Lonchura striata: one gene and its partners. The protein of the gene in region 3 interacts with the protein of the main gene of each other region in a biochemical or structural test. Links are inferred from orthologs where the notes say so. Each region holds a gene or a part of one and is shown on either strand. Other genes may lie near its edges.

Region 1 (7,790 bases), on a different chromosome or scaffold from region 3:
AATTACCATTATTAACTCTCAACTTCCACATAGTTAAAGTTTAATAGCAACTTCAGTGCTGAGCAGAAAGGCTGCTCAGAAATGAGCAGTGGTTCAAATACATTGTTTTTTTTTTTCCTGAGCAGATGCAAGTAAGGCTGTAGGGAAGATATTCCCATCCACTTCTTCAGAGCATAGCACATGGAAATACACCCCAAGATTTTGATGTTCTTCTAGAACAACCTTTTGAAAAGACACTTGCTGGAATAGATGCACAAAGATGACCAAAATAGTTGCTGGCCAGCAAGTGCCCAATCCAATTCTTGAAATCTTGTTTAAGAACCATTTTGCTTTGATTCAGCCAGTTCTAATCACCATTCTGTCTGTGTGCAAACAGCAGTAAATGGGATGACTAATACATATTCTTTTCAAATGTTTCCTGCACAGACAACGGTGTTACTTAATGCCCACCACATTTTAATAAGTGCTGTTCTAAAAAGAAGTCATTCAGATGACCTTATACCAGTTCTGGTGAGATTTCACTGAAGGTTCATACATTTGTGTTTTCACTACTCTGAGGAAAGCCAGAAGATTTTTCTCCTCTTTGGAGAAATAAGAGTTGCTATGGAGTACCTAGTGTGTGGCTAAGAAGGGATCCTCTTTCTCAGAACAGAGAGCATCTGCTTCCCAGGTATCATCACAGCCTGGCAGGGAGTGTGGCTTCTTGATTCATGCACAACAACAAATCCAGCAGACTTGCTTCTGCACCTCCAACCCAGCATAGGACATACAAGTGTCCCATTCTGGCAAAAAGACAAGGGATAAAGTTCTTGACTGCATTTGGGCCTGAATTACAGAAAGGAAAAAAAAAAAAAAAAAAAAAAGGAGGGGGCGGAATTCTACTCCAGACTTCCTTATGAGATACACAGCACAGCAGCCCTGGGGAAACTGAGGCGGCAATTACAAATGCTCTGACAAAAATGCTCAGGTAGCAACACGTTCTGGTTAAGAATGTGTTGCTACCTGAGCAAAGAAAACAAAAGTGACTGAAGTGATTTACAGTGCAGATGACAGTGCTGCTCTTTTTCCTGAAGAGTGCAGTCATGAATGACACATTTGTTCTGCCAAGGTGCCACAGAAACACTTCTGAAACTGTTACACAGCAATGGCACTGTTGGCTGTGCTGTATCAATAGCTCTGCAATGCCAGAAACAAACACAAACCACTCTACACGTGATGCAGGTGCATAATCCAGGCAGCACCTTCCTCTTCTGCACAGCCAGGCTTCCTTGTCAGGGTCTGCACTCAGGAGCCAACAGGCAAACCTACATATGTGGGTCAACCAGGCCAACAAAATCAAAGAGGTATCCAATGCCCAACGCTCTGCTTTTCCAGAAAAATGGAAACTTTCATTTCAGCTTAATCTTTACAGAATAAAACTCACACTGGAGATCTCAAGACAAACCAAAAAGAGCATGCCTTGGTGGTGAGAAGGTAACAGTATCAGCTGCTGTTGATTTTGTTAGGGATTTCTCAAGAAGGCAACTTTCAAAACAAGCCTAAGTAAATTTGATGGCACTGACAGATTTTTATTCTCCCAGTTACTGGTGCAAAAAATCCTCAAGCAAAGATTCTGGGTGGTAAAGTAGTTAGAGTTGAACAAAATTCCTCTTCACAGGGCTGGGAAAGCAAAACACAAATCCCAGACTCATACACTGCTGCTTCTAGAACAAATTTCCTTCTCTACTTCTGAACATCAAGATCAACCTTTAAGGACTTCAACATTCCCTCTTCCACAGGGAAGATCACCTTTTTTCTTCCTCTTAGTGTAATTTCACTCCTCAAAAAAACACCAGCTTCCTGTCAGCAGCATTTTCCCTCTCTGTGTGGGTGCCCTCTGTCCTCCCCATGTCCACAGGAGCAGAATGAAGGGACCTGTAGAGTGCACTGTGTCCCAGTTTCTGAACCAAAGTATAACCCAGCATACTGCAGCCAACCTCACCGAAAGGTCATATAGGAGGAAGAAGTAAAAGCTCCCAGGTGCATTTTGCTGAAACAGAGGGTAGTTTGTTTAAATTACGTGCAACAACTTTATTGCCAATCAGAAAAGGTATCATTCAGGTATCCTTTGCCCTCTCCTCCCTGGTGCACACAAAGAAATCACATACATTTTCTGTCTGGCGTTATAGATTGCAAATTAAGCCCTGTTCCCATGGAAAATTTTTAAAAATTTTATATCCCAGACTGCGAAGAGGACTGTATCCCCTCGCAATAGATCATGGCATATTGCACAGGCAACAGCACCTACCTCCGTGAGCCGACAGAGACAGCAAGTCAACATAATTCCTCTTGGATGGAGACATTTACCCCAGCTCAGACAGCCGGGGCTCTGCTGCCATGCCTGGAGATTCGGGCACACCAAGAAAGCATCTTCTGTGAGCAGCACGGCTCCTCTCACACACCGAACTGCAGCAGCAGCCTGAGAGAGCAGCAGCAGTTGAATTGCTGCACATGTATCTCTGCAGATTATTTCCTGCTCAAACACTTGGCGTAAAAGCAGATGCTCTTAACCCTCTGGAGGCCTCTGCCTTTGTCCCCCCTCGGCAGAAGAAAGCTAGCAACTCCAAATATTCTGCGGTGAGGCCGGAGAGGAATGACTGGAGACACGCAGGGCATCTTCTGAGAAGTAGTCCCAGGCTCGTGCTAGTTGCAGTCACTTTGTGCTCAGAGAGCCAAGCATTCCCACAGCATCCCCGGCCAGGCACCACACGGCTCCCACTGCATCACCCGCTGCAGATGCCCAGGCTCCAGCGGAGCACCGCTCGCGGCTCACGCAGGAGCCCCGGCCAGGGTGGGGCGGCCAGAGGTCTGACCCCGCGGCTGGAGGCCACGGCCCGGGGGCGAGGAGCTGAGGGACACGAGACGAGCACGAGTGACCCAGAGTCAGGCAGGCCGGGCTCGGGGCACGGGGCTCTGCGGTGCCGGGCGCTGCCCCATCGCCCGCGGGCGAAGCGCTGCTCGGGCGGCACTCGGCACCCGCGGGCACCCGCTCGGCGAGCGGCAGCGCTGCTCCCTCTCACAGCCTGCGAATGTGACTGGGAAGCATGGCTGAAAACATGCTACAATTAACAGGAGGGAGGGAGATACTACTGCTCTCCTGCTAGTCTTAAAGGCACATTGCTCGCATGTGCCTGTTGACTATGCAAACGCCCGCAGCTTCGGTCCCGGCGTCTCGCTCATCTGCAGGCGGCCAATATGCCCAGGCAGGAGCCCTGTCCGGGTGTGGGGAAGGAGAGCAACCCGGGAGTCAGGAAGTGAAGGGGCGGCCAGCACGAGTGCCTCCATCAGGGGCTGGGAGGGAGGCCTGGCACACCTTCACCGCTGTGCCGGGAGCCCAACCAAGCCCCTGTCACCCAGCCCGACTGCTCACCCCTGTCACTGGCAGCTCCACCATCATCCCAGCCTGGCATGGGGCATACTGGCCACTGCCCCCGGAATCCCACATGGGATTGTCTCCAGCAGGCAAGGAGGGTCTGGTACCCCCTAGGAGCATGGTGTCCCTCTCTGGTCTTGGTAGGAGAATCAAGTTGCTCCCACTGTGGACACTGGCCCCAGCAGGTGCAGCTTTGCACCTTGGTTTTACACAGCCAGAAGCTGAGGCACTGAAACCCAATGTGTCATATATCCTCAAGCTGTGATGAGTTCAGCAGGTCTTAGACTGGCTGTAGCATCTGGGGCCATAGCCACCTCCCTCCTGCCCCAGGGCTGGGGCAGCAGGCTCTGCACCAGCTGAATGCCACATACTCTCTTTTCTTCTCATCCCCTCTTCTGAGTGCCTTGGAATACTCTGGTTTGTCTTTCATCACGTCATAGCACAGATACAACAATAACAATGCCAGTAAGTCCAGCCCACATCAGCCTTTTCCCTCCTATGCCCCCACCCCCCAACAGCTGGCATCTGAAACTCAGAAGTCTTCAAAATGGGTGATTTACCCTATTAAAAAATCTCCACTTTTTTCTCAGTAGCCGTTGTTGCCATAGATAACATGTTTTTCTGAGCAGGACAAACTAGTGTGAAGCCCTGAACCTTGTTGATCTGCTTTGCATCACACAGCAACCCGTTAGCACCTTTGATTCTCCAAGGCCATGGAGACACCAAAATTAACCTGATCAATACCTGCCTCCATCACTGAGACCGAAGCTGTTAGCAGTGTGGATATTTTAGCCTGAGCACACAAAGCCAAAATAAATTACTATGTTGAAAAGTAAGTTAAGCATCCTGTAACTTCATTCCTGAAAAATAGTCTGAAAGGGAAGGCACCCTTAACATAAAACCAGCAAATACTTGCCACTGATACAAGAATGCATCACAGCAAAACAAATACTTTCTTTCCTGTAGTGGCTAGTAAATCGTGATCCCCTGATAAAACAAGCACAATGCATGTTTCACTGCTTCCAGGCCATGCAGCTTTGTGCAAAAATACCACAGTGAATTAATCCAAAAGGGCCTTTATTAAGCATTGCATATCTTAAAGAATGTCTTTTAAACACCAGACCTACAAAACATGTATAAGTAGTAATCAAAATGCTTGGCAGAGACACTTAAGGATTTATGCTCCTGAAGTTTCTCCCCTGAGTATCAAAGATCAAATTTGTTCTCCAGAAGATAGCTGAGGATTTCTAGAGTTTAATGCTTCCTGAGCTCATTAATTAGTATGCAAAAACAGCACAGTGACTACCAGAACATCACTACAAGTATCTGTCCTGAAAGAAGGCAGTCCTCTGCAGCACACTCAATAGAAATATTCTGTGTACAGGCACTATTACATTTTTCAGCTACAACACCTGATGGACCAACCAACTTTAAATTCAGAGGAAATGACCACCTATTAAATTCATAAGATCAAATGTTCATTTGAGTTATTCCATCTTGTACAACAGAGAATGTTGTGGCATGAGAAACTCAGGTCAGCAGGGTCATATCTTTCTGTCAGATACCGGGTCTGCCACTAAAAATTATGCACATGCTTGCAAGTGCGTAATTTTTTAGATTTGGTGTAATATGAGATTTCATTCTAAAAAATATTTGCATGTAAGGAAGCCATCATATTGGGAAGTGTCACACTACAGAAAGCTGAATCATTAAAGAGGTCTGCAAACAACTACAAGACCTAAAATTCACATCACAATTGTACTAACCTGCATATTCCACCAAATATATGTATTCTAATTAGACTATACTGCAAAACAACCATTCTCAAAGACTTTAAATGCATAACAAATAAATGTAAACCGTAAGAAATACAGACACCATTAGAGTGGGGATTTAAAAACTTTTAAAAAAGAACTTTGGAAGTCAGAAACCTGATTATAACTACTCCAAACTTTCAGAAACATGTATTCAAACATATTGCTACATGATACCTGAGGAATAACAACTCTAACACCTTTTAAAACTCAGAGCTCCCAGGTGGTAGATGTGTCCATGCAAAACAAACAACTACCCAAGAGACAGCAGGCACATTCAAGAGCATCCAGCATGCTGACCCTACTGGGACTTATAAAACTAAGAGCATTAGTTTAAATGGCTACTTTGGGGGAAAAAAAAATAAATAAAATAAAAAACACCCAAGCAGGAGCAAGAGAGTTGGAGGCCTGGCAGGATGAAACTACCCACTTGTATGGGTCCTGTAAATATTGGGGCTATCTCTGCTCAGAAATCTCAGAATACTGACCTCAGCCTTCATATTACAAAATCTCATGCTCTACTCCTGACACTCAACATTTGACCTCTCTTTATAGTTATTCTTTTACTGTACTCATGTAGTGTATGAGGACTAATCCATCTTCCAATGAATGGTTTGTGCCTTGCTGTTACCAAGTTGCAAAAGATCATGGTTGGTTTGTGGCATCTAAGTGAACAATTCATACATCATGTAAACCTCTACAGTCACCTCATCCTTCAGGTCACATGTGAAAATCCCTACAAGTGAGAGGAAAGGGCTCCAAACAGTGTGAAAAGCAATGTCAGCACAATCATTTCAGCCTTCTGGCGAGTGATGGGGGTGGCCAGAGTTTCACTTGTGCACTTCATGCAGTGAAGCACTGAATTGGCCAATCCATTGTTGCAAGCGCCTGAACTCCTGCAGATGACAAGGGCAAGAGCAGCACTGGAAGATGCCAGGACACCCTGGGTAAACAACAGGCAGGGAGATTGTCCCCCCACAGCCTTGCACCCATTTTTTCTTACACACTGTAGGAGCCATACTCAGTACAGCAAACAGCTCTTCTATAGACCATGAACTGACAATTTTGACCAAGTAAAACAAATTGTGGAAGTAAAAAAATTGGAAAATTTTGAAAGCTTCTCTAAGAAGGACATTTCACACATATGCCCAAAATCTGTAAAGGGTAATTAATGTAGCACATGCCACAGTCGAGATGGCCACAATACACAGAGTATCAACACTCAATTTCAGAAAGCTTTAAACGTTGCCATATAAAATAACACCTTGCCACATCAGAAGGCTCCAGGCAACTGTCCATACAGAGTAGCATCATCTCACCTACAAACTCTTGGCTAGAAATAAATTACAGTCTCTGGCATATGCCAAGCCTTCCACCCCAGGGTTCCCTGAACTTGTTCTCCAGGCTGCTTAACAGAGCAGCTCCCAACATTTTGTATCACAAATCATTCTTCAGTCTTTCTTATCAGCCCCTACCAATAACCAGCTATTGAGCACCTACCATGACCCCATGGATGTCTGGAGTTCAGAACGACCAGATTGAGAGTGAGGGGCTTCCAGCCAGAAGAGAGGTGCAATAGCAGCTACCAGAGCATGGAGTTTGGGAAGCAACAGCACTGACCTTTAGAACTCAGCTTGCTCAGAAACTGCCTCCCAGCCAAACTAACAAAATGCACAACCAAAGCATTTACAGTTTTGAACACTCACACATACATTAGCCTGATGAGCCATCAGTCCCGAGTTTTATTTATACTGGAAAAACTTCAGATGCTCAGAAAAGGCATCAGCATCCAAGCAAGACACACTGCCAGTCTGCAGCACCTCACTGGGAAACATCATAGGACGAGTGTGCAGTGTGTACCCAAGGAGGCGTATGCTGACTAGAATTGGACTTCACTGCAGGGAAAAACTAGGGACATCAGAGACCTAAATATCCTTTCAAACACCCTATTTGCAAGACAAAAACCAACTCTTTTGACTTGGCTTGTTTAGAAGCAGATATTACTGATTATGAATCTTTATGATATCAGCATAGTATTGTGGTTTTTTGCAAGTTTTTTTTTTGTTTTGTTTTGTTGTGTTTTAAATCAGTATTTGTGTTGTGCTTGAAAATATTCCGTTGTATTTAGACATTAGAATTCCACAGCCCTCCTTGTAGCTGTGATTTAGAAATGGAAGTATTTGCCCTCTAAGGTTTGCAGAATTCAATGAATGTGTTGGTAAAGAGTCAAAAGAGCATGTTTGGACAGCCTGGGTATTATAAGGTCCCCCCAGCTGCCTTTTACAAGCTAGCTGGTTTCACCTTTATCAAGGCTTCCTACTTGAACTACTTCTGAGAAGTCAGCCTTGATTTCTCTGAAATTTTCAAATGTATTTGAGAAATTAATATAGGCACAGGAACAGTTCATCAGACAATAATCTTATTGAATGTTCTCTGTAGTCAGAGACATCTGGGCCAAACCATATAGACAGAATCAACCCTGATATCTACAAGTACAAATCAATGTATTCACAATGAGCTCTCAAAGAGGACAAATCATCATTCAGAAATGGAGGGCCATTGCT
Region 2 (7,089 bases), on a different chromosome or scaffold from region 3:
AGATCCAGAATGAGCTCAACTGCATCAAAAAGAGAGGAGTGTTTTTAGTAATTCATCCTGATTTGTAATAGCTAGCCTCTGATTCACATCCAACAGTCCCTGATGCATGCTAACAGAGACACCAAACTGTAGTAGTCTCAACAACAACAAAAATTATTCACATTTCACTTGCCTCACTTTTAGAAATCAGTCTGATTGATTAACATCCTCAGTTACTACTACATTTATGGATTACAAAATCTATTCAGAACATCAGAGAACAATGGCAAACTCAGAAACTGGGAATTTTTACACCTGAATCAATCCTGAGAACACAAATTTGAATTATGTAAACTAGGTTTTTAACTGCTCCTCTTTCAGACAAAAATTGTTGAAAAGCAGCATTTCTAGGAAGTGTTTATGTGCACCATGCCAAGCATAAAAACCCTACTGAAGAGAACAGAATAACGTCCTACAAAAAATTTCCAAGCAGAGCTAGGGACCAGGGGAGGGGCTGAGATGAATTTGTTACATTGGTGCCTTCCAGAAATTAAAAAGCAATGTGCAGTCTGTTCCCATGCCAGCTGTGTTTCTAGAGACTGCTTTCTGTCTACCACAGACCACATTATTGCCATTTTAAGCTAAGATTTCACTTAATTTCCATAGGCTGGGACAGACAGCAGCTGCCTGCTCTTAGCGCAGACGCGCTGCCTGGGAGTGCAGGTCGCAGCGTGCGAGGCTCTGCTGCCACAGACTTGCAAACTCCTTTGTTTAAAATAGAAGAGCATGGAGCCTACAGTTTTCCAGAGCTTTCCACCTTTAGGAAAAGCAGTGGTCAAGGCTGGTTTGGATGTGACTGATCACCTAGGAGTTATTCCATGCTGAATTCTCAAGGTAGAGCTCACGCTTGGTTTTGCAGATGGATGAGAGCCCTGGTATTCTCTTTTTGTTGGGCTCTGCAAACAAAGATTGGACATTTCCTTTGCTTGATTCCTGCAGTGATGCTATATGGAAGGAAAACAATTTTCAGGTTCTTGGGGTGAGGTGAGATGAGTGATTTTGCAGTCTAAATAAAATAAAAATCCTGAGATAAATATTACAATAAATTCATGATCAGTTGTACATCCAACACACACGCTAGAAGACATAAGATCACAGTTTTTTTCTGATATGTCAACCTGCACAAAGCTGGTTTCTTATTTATCAATGCTTCATGTGCAAACCTAAAAAAATTTTAAGATGCCTGTGCCTCAGTTTCACATATGCCAAATTGCTTTCTGTCGGGAAAGCTAAGTTTCCAGAAGGTACTCAGACCCTGTGGTAGATACTCAAATGTCTACAGCTACACCACAGTAAACAGTGCAGTCCTTTAATGAAGAGCTTATGACTGTAGCTGCAAAGGTCTTAGGCAAGGCAACAGTTAGCTGGTTTGCACTTTACTTTTATGTTTTTGATGTCCTGAATAGAGCTGCAGATTTAAATGAGTCATTGCACACCCCCAACCATACTGTTTGTCAAGGTCCAACTCAGGCCAAGTTTGGAGGAAATTAACTTCTGTAGCTGGTATGCAAATATGACTATAAGTCAATTATCTTACTTCATAAATAGTGAACAGCCAGGGCTTATTGATCTCTCCTGCAGGGCAGTGGATTGTCTGCCAGGGTCTTGGCTTTGAGTAGTAGTTCTCAAGGTCACTCCTCAGAGTTGAGAGATCCCTTGACTCAGGAGATTCTCAGTAAGTGAATAATAGCATGCTAAACTCTGAAATCTTAGCTAAGTGACACAAAAGATTGATTGTGAACATATAATCCTTGAGATATAAACCATTGACTAAGTCTAAGTTTGGAATTAGGCACACATAAACTCCATTATGAGAAGGCACTTAGAACACAAGGAGGTCTTTTCTGAACCTCATGACTCAACAAGAGAGTCTTTCTCCCTGTCTCTCTTATCTGACCCAGTCCTCTGTGCCATAAATAATCAAGTGCACCTTGTCATCAGATCTTACTGAACCCTTCTCACATTTACCATGAAGCTTGACAAAATCACTGGTTTATATCAATAAACCTGTAGCTATTCTCTCTTAGGAGTGACATCCATGACACACCCATGACTGCTATGCTATAGCAGTCAGAGCCCTGAGCCAACCTTCTAAGAAAACAACGGGACACCTGGGCTCCTCACAAAGGTTGTATGTAGCCCTAGCCAAGAGGTGCTGTGCCCTGTTCTGCACAGTGGCTGCATGTCACCACAGGCCTTCAGCTGGGTAATAATTAGTATTGACTCCACAATTGTAGAAGTTTCATCAATTGCTTTATTATATCATCTTATACTATATTTTACTATACTTATCAAAAAACTTATTAACTCTTACAGCTAGTCTGATACAGCTTTGACCTAACTGGTCAATCTATCTAAATATTATCTAGTGTTTATTTAAGAAATCACCCTTTAGTAAACAAATCTCCATGACACATTTTACATGTGCACAACAGCAGGTGCGAGTGGAGATAAGAATTGTTTTTCATACTTTTCTCTGATCTTCTCACAGCTTTCCCTGGGAAAATGCCTGGGAAAGTCTGTGCCTGCTCTCTGTGGCCAGAGAGCTGCTGCCACAGCTGCATTCAGCAGAAGTGGAGCCCACCCTCTGTATCAGATATGCACTATCATATTCATAGCAGTGGCCACCAAATCCTCTGGAGCATGGATGCCAAATTCACTTGGTGAACACAGTACCCTATTTGATTATTGTATGAAAGGAGAGAGGAAATTTCCTCTTCTGGCTTCTGGGTGAGACTGCCAGAGCTAACACATTTCTTGCTAAACTCAGCTTTATCAACTTTTTTACCAGTTTGTGCTGTCTGATAGTCTTCTGGCCTCACCTATGGGACTGGGAAACTTTATTACTACCATGACACATTTCCAAGTCCCACATGGGTATTAGTGGAAGCTACTGCGTCATTTTCCCAGTCTTGCTGGGTTCACCTGTGAGTAAAACTGGCTCCAAAAAACTACTGAGAAAGGCTTTCTGTAACTGTGCCCCAGTTACTGATCTGAATGGGCATCAGTGTGTGCTCTGAGACTCACTTTGGAATGGTTTTGGGTCCATGAAGAGATTAGCACATGTCAGCTGAGCTGTAGTAATTCTCCATATGCTTGAAGTTCCCTGGGATCTGCAGCAGAGTTGACAGTGCTGCACACAGAGCTGAGCTATGCTAGCAGCCTGCAGCTCCCAAGGGTCTGCCAGGAGCCACGGGTGCCCAGTGACACTGGCACCTCTCTGAGATCTCACTGAAAACTTCCTGAGCCTGCCTGTTTAAAGCCATTGCCCTCAGCATGAGGGAAGTCTGCAATATATCTCAGGATGTGCAGGCGAGCAGTACACCCATTCAGCCAAACTTTTGACAACTGTAAGTCTCAGAAAGTCTGTGAGCTGAGTATTTTTAGGTGGAAAATTGAAGACTCGGCTATTTCTTCATGTGTGTCCTGGCAGCAGAAGTATAAGGCAGAAGCAGTGTCAGACTGTTTTGTTTCCCCTTTGCTCTATACACACATTGCTTTACAGAACTGCTTCCTTTGGGATGCCTGCTTGGGACAGGCTGCTGGACTGAGCTGTTACATCCATCTCCTGACAAATGAGTATGACATCAGAGTGACTTCAATTTTTTATAAGTATCTGTTGCCAAGTTGATTCACACGTCAGCACAGACCTGGAGTTAAAACTGAAGGGGACTGAATATTATTATGCCTGCCTTTTAAGGTTGGTGGAATTTCCCCTCTTTAGGGAAAAAACTTCTCACATGTTTCACTCGTATCTACCATCACAAGCCTTAGATTTTGTCTCTCTCAAGCCTGCATCCTGTAAATCCCTGTAATTGCATGCAGCTGTTTGTGAGGCATCCACTGCAAACTGAAAGCATGTTTTGAAAAAGCCCCCAAGCAGAGAACCTCTAAAATAAGCACTGAAAAAGCTGCTGGCTTACCAAAAAGACCCCCTGTGCTCTGCCCTCCCCTGCCCTCCTCTGCTGTCGCTACCTTACAGTTTCTGACATCCAGAGAGTGGGAGGTCTGACAATCCGAACAAGGCAGCAAGGGAGAAATTCCATTCCTGTTGCAATCAGTAATTCCTCCGTGCAGGCTGCTTTCTCATGTGTGTGCGTGCTTGCTTTTGTGCCACTTCAAGAAGGGCTCTGATATTATTATTACTTTAAATATAGCTGCCCTGGGGCGGGGAAATGCACAAGGAAAGAGCCGGCGAGCAGCCTATCTCTCAGAAGAAAAGAGCAAGCCTCGCAGCACAGGAACTGGCTTCACTCAAGTGTGTGCAGTTTAGAAGTCAAAAAACTATTTGAAATAGCACCGTTGTGGAGGAGGCTGAAGAAAAAAAGACACGGAACTGGCTAAACACAGCGAAGAATATTGTAAACCAGGGTGCCAAGTGCATTTATTTGCAGTTTGAAAGTGGGCTCTGAAGTGCAATGTAAGTCTTCCTTAAATTGTATTCTTTTATAACAGTATCTAGTTGTTTAATTTCCATTCTGAAGCCATGCTGAGCCAAAAGGTACAATTAGCTACAAAAATCAGCATGAAGCAGAATGTGTAGTCTCTGATATGAGGCTGAAAATGATTCTGAAATACAACAGAAGACAGAGACTATCAGCCATATTATGGAAGATGCACTATAAATAAAAGCATATTTAATTATTTCGAGAGAAAGACGTTGGATGGAATAATTAATCAAGATTCTTAATAGAGAATCCAGAGCTTTGCTGTTTAATACGGCAAGATATTTTAATACTGCTCTGTTTAAAATTGTGTGATAACAGTTACCAATAGCAATAAGATGTAGCTCCAGAGGGGAGTCCTAGTGGTTGCAAAAGTTTTATGTCTTTTATTTCTCCAACATTTTTTCTCTCTGAAGCCTCTCTTACAGCCCAGTTTTACTATCCAGCTGGATTTTCAATATATGCCAACACTGGACTTCCTATGGAACTGAAAACAAAACATTTCAGCTTTTGGAGTAATTTTGGTATGTTTTTCTACATTGCACTAGTGGCAAAAATACAGTCGACAAAAGATTGTGTTCCCTCAACTTCTGACATGGGGAGCTGAGGAATATAATGCCCAATGGTGACAAAGGGTGATAATTTCCTGTTTTTCTCAATTTATCTCTGTGGTTTTGGACTTAGCAATGGATATTCTTTGCGATGGAGTGAGCTCTGTGAACCCAACTGCAAACTCCTTCATACAAATAAATCATGAGAGAAGATTCTACAGAAATGTTTATGGAGCTGCAGAAATTAATATATCACATCTCTGCAACTTGACTGTGAACTCTGACAACCTAACCAATCTTTCATGCGAAAGTAACATGAGCCCACCGTGCTGCCCTTCACAGAAAAATTGGCCGGCTTTGCTGACAGTAATAGTGATTGTTTTAACCATTGCTGGAAACATTCTTGTCATCATGGCTGTTTCACTGGAGAAAAAACTACAGAATGCCACTAACTATTTTCTAATGTCACTTGCAATAGCTGATATGCTGCTGGGTTTCCTTGTCATGCCTGTGTCCATGTTGACCATACTGTATGGTGAGTATCAGCTGTGTAACCTACTGCATGTATTGATAAGCCTTAAAGATTGCATGCAATAACATCTTGTTGTCATTATGATTTCATTCTCTTACCACAGAAAATTATTATCACTCCATATAAATTGAAATATATGTCACTGGTTAAGGCGTGGAACAGGTGAAGTACTTGAATCTTTTCCTAGTTTATATTTCCAGCTACAGGCATTTTAAACACAGACCATAAAATCAGTTTATTATTCAGTTGTCAGATGTATTGACTCAAAGTGTATATGAAGATGCTTTGTTCTTTCTATTGTTTTCAGATTTTTTCCCTGGCTCATAATTTTCATGTTCCCAATGAGAATGAAGGGTCCTGCCAGTTACTTTGCTCTGCAAATATGCACTGAAACACTAATGACTACTTTTAGATTCAAAGTAGGCATCCCTCTCAATTATTTTTAGTGAAGTAATATAAATGTAAATAATTTTCTTATCACCAATACCCTGCTTAGACAATCTATTTACTAGCAAATGCTGGAATAAATATTGCATGAACTAAGAAATGGATGGGCATTAGTAACATTTACAAATGCAAAACTATAATTTCTTAAGATAAGTTATTTAAGTTAAAAATGACTCACAGTTCATGCCCTTGCAGGTGATTAATAGCACATCTTTCTTCCCATTTTCACCAAAATCATTTGCAGCACAGCTCACACCAGAAAAAGCAGCACCCTTTGTGTTCAGCACTAATTTTGTCAGGCTGTGACCGTCCCTAAACTTCAGAAATGAGCCTTTCAATGCTACTGAATTGCTGCAGTTCAAAGAAAAGCTAGGCATTGTCAGGAGAGTGAGATTGTTCTATTACTTCACTACTTTGGGACTTAAGGTTCAAACGTGAGCCTGTGCTTAAAGGAGATTTAATCCGGAAAGTTGGAAGTTTATTTTCCATTTTCAGTATCTCTACAGAGATAGCCCGCAGCAGCATTTGCAAACTGCATTTGGCATCAGTCACGGTGCCACACCGCGATGTGCCGTGTCAGTGTGCTATTATCTCTGGCGGGAGAAACGGCGTGAAACAGGAATTGTCCGATGGGTGAGATTTAAGTGCTGCGTGATTCCCTGCGACAAGCAACAGGGACTCCTGCTGGCCAGGCTCCGCTGCCGAGGGCAGAGACGGCCGAGCCCCGTGTCTGGGGAGGGATGCGGGGGTGCGGCGCTGGGTGCCGCTCCCGCCCGCCGGGAAGCGCGGCCCCGTCCCGGCGGAGCCCGCGCCGCCCGCCCGCGCTCCCGGGACACGCGAGCCGCGGGCCGGGAGGCGCCGGGGAGCGCCTGCCTCGCCTTTGCCTCCGCTCTCCCCGCTTCTTCCCCTGCTAGACCAGGCATGGAAGCAGCATAACTTGGCGTGAAAAATCATCTGGTGGCACCCACTGGTACCAGGAGAACCATCTTGGTGTGGTGCACCATCAACCTCCAGGATCATCAGTGATGGCATGGAGGGAAACCTCTCCTTCCACAGGAGCATTTTCTTGGCCGCA
Region 3 (7,341 bases):
TTCTGGTGGGGTTTGTTTGAATCTTTTTGGTTAATGAAACAGATAATCTTCTACAAAAAAGAAAAAAAAATCAGTAAATATCTTAAATTAAGATCAATTGGAATCTTTCCACATTAGCTTCAGAAACTGAAAAGCATCTTTTTAGCATATGAAGAATATAGGGGACACTACATATACCGAACTGATGAAATACAGGAATGATTAATACTGGCTCTTTATGTTTTCAAGCATAGGCAATTGATAACCATATTCATTAAATTCAATTAAACCTGGTGAAGCACAGATTTTACAGCAGCTGCACCTCAATGTATATTGGATTCTTCACAGAGGTGACAACAGCATACAAAGCCTCTCCAAACAGCTGCCATTTAGCATCAACAAAGAGTCATCATTTTCTCTACAAACTAAAACACAAATTTCTCTTTGTGTATTGACAATAACAAGTTATTTATACAGAAAATCATAACACTGTGTAAGAAGACCACTGTGCAAGGGGTTTCAGATGTAAGAACAGGGTCTGAGTAGCCTACAAAAGAAATATGCTATTATTGCCAAGGCCAAAAATAGCACATTTTTGTATTGACTTGTCAGGAACACCAGCAGTGAAACATGACTGTCCTTATCAATGATAATATAGTATCCTGTCAGCATGGTATTATATTAGCCAAAACTGCTTCACCAGGATGCTCAAATAATGCCTATTAAAAAATGTACCAGATGCACTTCACCAATTTTTTTGTGTGTGTGTGTGAAACATGGAGCAGAGATTAAAAAGTTATTCAAAATGCTTCTCAATATACTGAATAAGTGCTACTTGTTAAAACAAAACCATCTACAGCTATCTGCATGACTGAGAAGATATAAGGCGTTCCTGCCTGAAGAATTCAAAGACCAGGACCCCACCAGGGTCAGGTGGAATAAAAAGATCCATTAGTACCGATGTAGTGCAGTTCTCTTTCCCTGGTGCTGATAGTGATCTAACTTTTCTAGCGCATTTCTTCGTAAAGAGGAGAGAATGTATCCAGTTCCTAGTGAAAAGCTTCTACAAAGCACTAAGGAAACCAACAGTAACACTATATCTAATCATTAAATGTTACATGTATGTTACTGTTAACAAGATAGGAGACATAAAAATATGCAAACAAAAATTGATAACCATTTCAAAAAATTGTGCTCTGTCTAAAAATGCTGCTTGTTAAGGTGGGTATGTCTCATACATACAAAATACATAAATATATTCCAATTGCATTCTTTTCTTTTAGTGTTACAATTACTTTCAATTTCCACAGAAGCATCAAGTAACACTGAAAAACTATTTTACCACTTTCTCCTTTTCCAGTTTAGACTCTTCCCTACCAAGGAGTTGCTGTTTCCTTGGGAAACACAGAAGTGATAGGCAAAGCACAGGGCACCACACAATACAATTTCAAAAACTACAGAATTCAGATCCTTCCTCTTTATCTCAGTAAATCTCTGCTCTCCTACTGCGACAGACTCCTGACACCCTTTCTGGGACCAAAGCCAGTAAGGATGTTTCCTATCCAAGAGTTTATAGTTAAAAAAAAAAAAAAAAAAAATCTAGACATATTAGGACACAAATATATAGCTGGACAATGCAGTGTTTATAAAAGCAAAAGAAAAGGTAAAGGGGAAAAAATTTTTAAACTACAATGTTTCTCAGGCAAACGGCAAATCAAATCCGTTAAATGCTGTACACGGTTCAAAAGGTCGGCTTTGTGAGTTTTTGTTTTTCTTTCTTTCCTCCTAATACTCTTTCCAGTAATATAGGGAGGTGCTGGCAGCAAGGGGGGACACGGGAAACGAACCATCCCTCTCCTCTGAGCAGCCAGACTCATCAAAGGCCACAGCTGCAGGTGGCCCCTTGCCCTCTGCTTCCACCCAGCCCAAGCCGCTACGTTTGAACGCGCCCCGCGGAGCGGCCGGACCGCTACCGCGGGCTCGGACCTGCGGGCAGCCCGACACCACCGCGGCAACAGGTCCCGGTCCCCAGGACACCGCCAGGGCAGCGGGGCCTCGGTCCGGCCCCGGCTGCGAGCGAGAATCGGCGCCCACGGGAGCCGGCCGAGGGCCGCGGCCGCCGGCACGGTCGGTGGCAGCGGCGGCAGATGCGGAGACCTCCTCCCGTCATGAAACACCCGCGGGGGGTAAAACAGGAATGCGTGAGCGGGCAGCAGGGCTCCGCGCCTGTGTCAGGGGAGTCTCGGCTTTTGTTTACGTGAGGACAACGCCCCGCCAGGCCGCTCGAGCCCGCGAGCCGCCCGCCCGCCGCAGGCCAGAGCCCGGCCCGGCCCCGCTCGGCGGCGGGGAGAGGGGATGTGCCGGGACACAGCAACAGGCTCGGCCCGCGGCCCGGGGCTCCACGGCCTCGCCTCCTCCGGCCCCACCCCGGCAAAACCCTTCTGATCAAATGAACAATAATAAATAAAAGTTCGAGGGACAAACGCGTTTTAAAAGGTCGCTTAAACTCCAGCGAGGCGGAGGACCCTTCCCGGCCCGCATCCCCGCGGGACGACTCAGGAGGGCTCGCCCCGCTCGCCCCGCCCGGCCCGGCGCCCTGCTTACCCCAGCCGCTCGGCGAGCCCCACCGCCCGGCCCGGCTCTCCGCCCTCCCCGCCCCCGAGTAGCGGCGCCGAGCGAGCCGCGCCGCGGGGCAGCGCGCTGGGCACGCCCCGGCGGCCTGAAGCCCAACCCCGCACCGCCGGCCGCGGGGCTCGCCGGGGCGGGCGGGGGCCGCGGGACCGCGGGGCACGCTCGGGGCGCCCGGCCCCGTCCCTGCCCGCCTGCAGCGCGGCCCTTCCCGCGAAGTTTGCCTCCCCGCGGAGCGCACGCCTTGCCGGGATGACACCGAGGAGCCGGGCTGGTCCGGTTCAACTCTCCGGTTCGCCTGCGAAGTGAAGGCGGCGGCAGGCTGGTCCCTGTCTCTCTCCAGCGGTGCGGTGCCGCCTGCGGACGGGCCTGGAACGCCAGGACACCGGCCGTATCCCTTCTCGTGCAACAAGATGAGCCGGGCCTGGAACGCAGGAAATGTTTGCAAATGCTATAAAAAAAAAAAAAAAAAAAAAAAAAAAAAATCTTAGATAGCAAACAACACATGATGAAGTTTGACAAAATGATTTATAAGGTCGTGGAATTAATAAAGGAATTACTTTTCCATCGATGCAGCAGCTGGTTATTGTGTTAACTAAAAGTAAGGAAGATGTGTGTTTCACATACATACAAGAATAAAGCGTATAATGCAGAGATGTTTGTAAAGACCACAAAATATCCGAAAACATAAGTTCAGCTAATGGTGGAATTATTTTTGCTATTTGTTAACTTTGCTTCGACTAGCATATGTCATCAAGGTCACTGTTTCCCCTATTCCTTTACATAAGATAATTTTTTTGATGTCGATGTTCTCAGACAGCTCAACTGAGGTAAACCCCCTGCAGAGGGAGATGGACCACAGCTGCTCCACTCGGCGTCTTGGCTCTGGCTTTGCAGAGGCTCCATGAGCTTTTTATCTTCTTGCCTTCTGGCTTAGTTTGTTCTTTTTCCAAACAGATGTTAACCTTAAGAGTCATCATAACTTCTAGTAGTTTGTGGCAGGGGGGTGGTGGTGCTATTTGGTTGGTAGACTTTTTTGGGTATTTGGTGCTTTTTTTTTTTCTTTCCTCACACAAAAATTTTAAAGAAACCTAATGTTATGAAGCTAGAATGGAGTACTGCCCTATCTATTTTCAATAGTGTCAATAAATGCAATCCCAGTACAAACACTTTCTTTAGCAGAACACTTAATGTGTATACTTTATATTTGTACATAGCATGGTTCAGATTTTTTTTTTTTTATTTGGAAAATTAAATTCTGGAAAAGTTTGAATTACAAAACAATATTTCTCTTGCTTGCTCTTATTACAGCTGGTTGATTGAAAAACTCCAAATTAATTGCTGCCTTTTCCTCTGCTGAGTATTAAAATATTTTTTAACAATAGTTCAACTTTTTAACAATATTTCTTCCACCTTTTTAACTAAGAAATGTAGTTTTCAAGATTTTATTCACAGGTTCCATTGTTCAGTCTGACATGAGCTCATAAGCATATTACTTTTTTAATCAAACACAGAGGCTCTGCTGTAGCTAAGACATTGAATGATCTATAACTGTCCCACCAACTTTCTGTGTTACATCAGCTTTTATTGAATTCAGAATAAAATTTTAAAAAGAAGTTACAGTTTGTTTCCAAGTATCATTGTTCAATGAATAAGCCACAGTTGATTAGATAAGTACAAAAAGAAAATGTTATTGTTATTTTTTCCTGTTGCTCAGGCTTTAACTACAGGATATGACTGAAAGCAGATGCAGTGATTACATTAAGTTTATTTGGACAAAAAACTGGTCAATATTAGGTGCAACAGTCCTCACAATGTACAACAGCATCCCTTGTGTAATAATTCTTCCCATTTCAATTTGTTTTTGTATAGGATATACCTTTCAGAAAGTTTTTTAACATACAGACCGCTATTTTAAAGTAGAAATACATTTTAAATTATATTTATATTTTGTCAAATCCTTGTAGTGAGTATATATTAAGTAGTGAAGTTCAGAACATTGTGCTACCTGAGGCCTTGCCATATTAAAAAGATTTGCATAAGTATATTTATGCCAACATAGCTGTACACAGAAACTGAACCCTCTCATAAACACACAACTGTACATGCAATAAACATAAAACTGTAATGGGAATTAGCATCACAGTAATCTAATGCGCTTTTGCACACAGTAGCTGATGACACTGATGAAGAGCCATGCAGGCACAGTTCTAGCAAATAGCAAAGCAAATTGTTATGGTTCAGAATACACAACTGGACTCATGGATATATTTGGTACTACCTTTAGAAATTAATTTGAAAGACATCAGCCATTCATTTTGACTTATTTCTTCCTTTTATTATAAAATAGGACCTCTCCAGCCCCTTCCTAGAAAAAGGTCAAAACGTATCGATTATTTCCTTGGTGTGTTTCATGTGATACACAATGCTTTAAGTTATGTCACAGCTTTGTTAGTGTAAGGAGTGTGGCCATTGGTGGTATATAATCTTGAGGGATCCTTCAAATGTGAGAAAAGAGAATCTACTTTGTATTTCAAGGCTAAATGTTTTAACAAGCTACAAATAGCTTATGTGTCTACAAACGCTTATTCAAGTGATTGTAAATAAAAATTGTAAGCAATTTTTTAAATCATAAACTTTCCTCAGAAGATAATTATTAGTGCAAAATCCATAAAAAATATTGTCAGAAAGGACTCTTAAGGAGAAATGGAAGGGATCTAAATAAACCCTTATTTTATGTTCTCTAGTATTAACATCCTGATATATTTCATTTCTCAGGTCAATTTATAATATACTCATGGTCGAAGTATCAATATTGGATGAGATGTCTGCCTTGCTGATTTACTTAAATAAATAAAATATTAATATTAATGATTTACTGCTTAGATTTATTAGAAAACATGAAGGAAAAGTAAACTGAGAAAAAAAAAGCCTTTACAGAAATAACAGGGGCACCAGAAACAAGGCTATGTGTCCATTAAATCATTCATTAGACTGCTGTTGGGGATGCAGCCTTTTAAAATAGTAATGGGAACAGGATCTAACCAATGAAATGAGAGTCTGGTTCTGCTCTGAGTCACAAGTACTGACTTCACTTTGAGAAGATGCTGCCTATGAAACATATTTGATGATATTTATGACACAGATCCATTTATTCCCTAAAAAAAAAAAAAAGAAAAAAGAAAAAAAAAGTGTTCTTAACAATAATTGTCAATAATTGTTTGTTTCATCACTGTGGGTATCATATTTGGTATGGGCATTGTTATTGCATGGTCCACTGCAGAATGGATAATATATATATATTTTTTTAGGGACCTAGAAGCACCCTGTGAGGGAGTCAGGAATATTTATAAACTTTTTATTTATGTTTGAAGTATTCCATCCCTGAATTTAGAAAATAACATGGAAATGGACCAATAAACACTTTTCATAAGTATTACCTTGATTAAAAATTGGATAAACTTTTCTTTTATAGCCTTACTCTTCAATATTACAGCATAATTTTCTTAATGTATATTCATATGTATATATACATACATAGACACAATATTGTACTTTTCATTACAGCATTTGCTCACCTTTCAAGCTCAAAACCTACTAATTACCGTCTTCCATGTTAGAGAATGATAATTATTTATTATACATAAAATTTTATTCATGGCTATGTAAAGCAAGAGTAACTCATTGCATTACATGGAATTAAGCTGTAGAAAACCAATCTGAGATCAAAGGTAACTATGATCCTAACTGCAATAGCTGCTAATCTAAATATATTAAGTATGCATTTATCCAAGGATGGATCACCATCTTTTTTCATGGAGCTCTTACGAGTAGAATAAGTTATACTAGCAGAAGCATTCAGTATTAAATATAACACTCTTCTTCATTTCAACATAAAAGGTACACTGCAAAAGTCAGATGGTGTAACTACACAGTTACTTCTGTTACTGGAGGTAACACCATGTATATTGTTATACAGAGCAAAAATTGGGAACTTTCTCTTAACTTTTGTGTTTGAAATGTACAGGCTTTGGATTATTATGCTGGCAAGTAGTGAATATTAGTGTCACTTCCTGAAGCATGCATATTTGCAAGAATGGAGCATAGATTTGCATTTTAAAGATTCTTTGGGAAATTGTCTTCCCTGCAGACATACTTCATAACAGTTATTATTGATATTGGAGGTTGCACATACACGTACAAGGGGAAGTATGCCCTGTAAGGTAAAACAGAGTAAAAAAATCATAAAAGGTATGTTAATTATTTATAACTACAAAACAAAATACTTGCAATTATGACAAATTAAAAGGGCACTTATTTACACACAAACAGGATTGTTTAAAGCCACAGACCTTGCCCATAGCAGAGAAGTGAAGCTAAATAAGTGACAATGCATATTGACGTTATCATAAATTATTCAGACACAAAATACCTACAAGGAGTGTCTGGTTTTGTCAGATTGCAGTTTTTTGGGTTTTTTTTTTCCAAAATTGTGGCACCTGGGTCCTTTAACCACCAGGAGTGGCACAGTGGGTCAGGTTTTCAGGAGCCAGATAGCTGAAGGAAAGCTTCCACCGAAGGTGGGAGGACACTCAGGCTGCTTTGATTTCCAGAGGGTTTATTGGAAGGGTAGAGAAGGCAGAGGTACAGGGAAACAACCACTCGGAAGGGGAGCAAGCTCTGAGAGCCTCATCCCGCGCGCGGGTGAGGTATTTAACAATAACAGGGTAGGAG

Evidence for each region.
Region 1: the proteins of MPDZ (region 3) and HTR2C form a complex in vitro, tested with the Homo sapiens proteins (3 studies listed by BioGRID and IntAct, with this or other methods). The link is inferred for Lonchura striata from reciprocal best matches to the Homo sapiens genes MPDZ and HTR2C.
Region 2: the proteins of MPDZ (region 3) and HTR2A form a complex in vitro, tested with the Homo sapiens proteins (2 studies listed by IntAct, with this or other methods). The link is inferred for Lonchura striata from reciprocal best matches to the Homo sapiens genes MPDZ and HTR2A.

What each region holds. Positions count from the first base shown.
Region 1 is NC_134616.1:19,391,233-19,399,022, reverse strand, and holds the start of HTR2C (5-hydroxytryptamine receptor 2C), read right to left. Parts: upstream 3,047-7,790; 5' UTR 2,288-3,046; intron 1-2,287. UniProt on the Homo sapiens protein: G-protein coupled receptor for 5-hydroxytryptamine (serotonin).
Region 2 is NC_134604.1:61,622,332-61,629,420, reverse strand, and holds the start of HTR2A (5-hydroxytryptamine receptor 2A), read left to right. Parts: upstream 1-4,043; 5' UTR 4,044-4,459; intron 4,460-4,900; 5' UTR 4,901-5,170; coding exon 5,171-5,570; intron 5,571-7,089. UniProt on the Homo sapiens protein: G-protein coupled receptor for 5-hydroxytryptamine (serotonin).
Region 3 is NC_134642.1:20,459,056-20,466,396, forward strand, and holds the start of MPDZ (multiple PDZ domain protein), read right to left. Parts: upstream 3,009-7,341; 5' UTR 2,856-3,008; exon of another isoform or gene 2,849-2,855; intron 2,686-2,848; exon of another isoform or gene 2,584-2,685; intron 1-2,583. UniProt on the Homo sapiens protein: Member of the NMDAR signaling complex that may play a role in control of AMPAR potentiation and synaptic plasticity in excitatory synapses. Promotes clustering of HT2RC at the cell surface.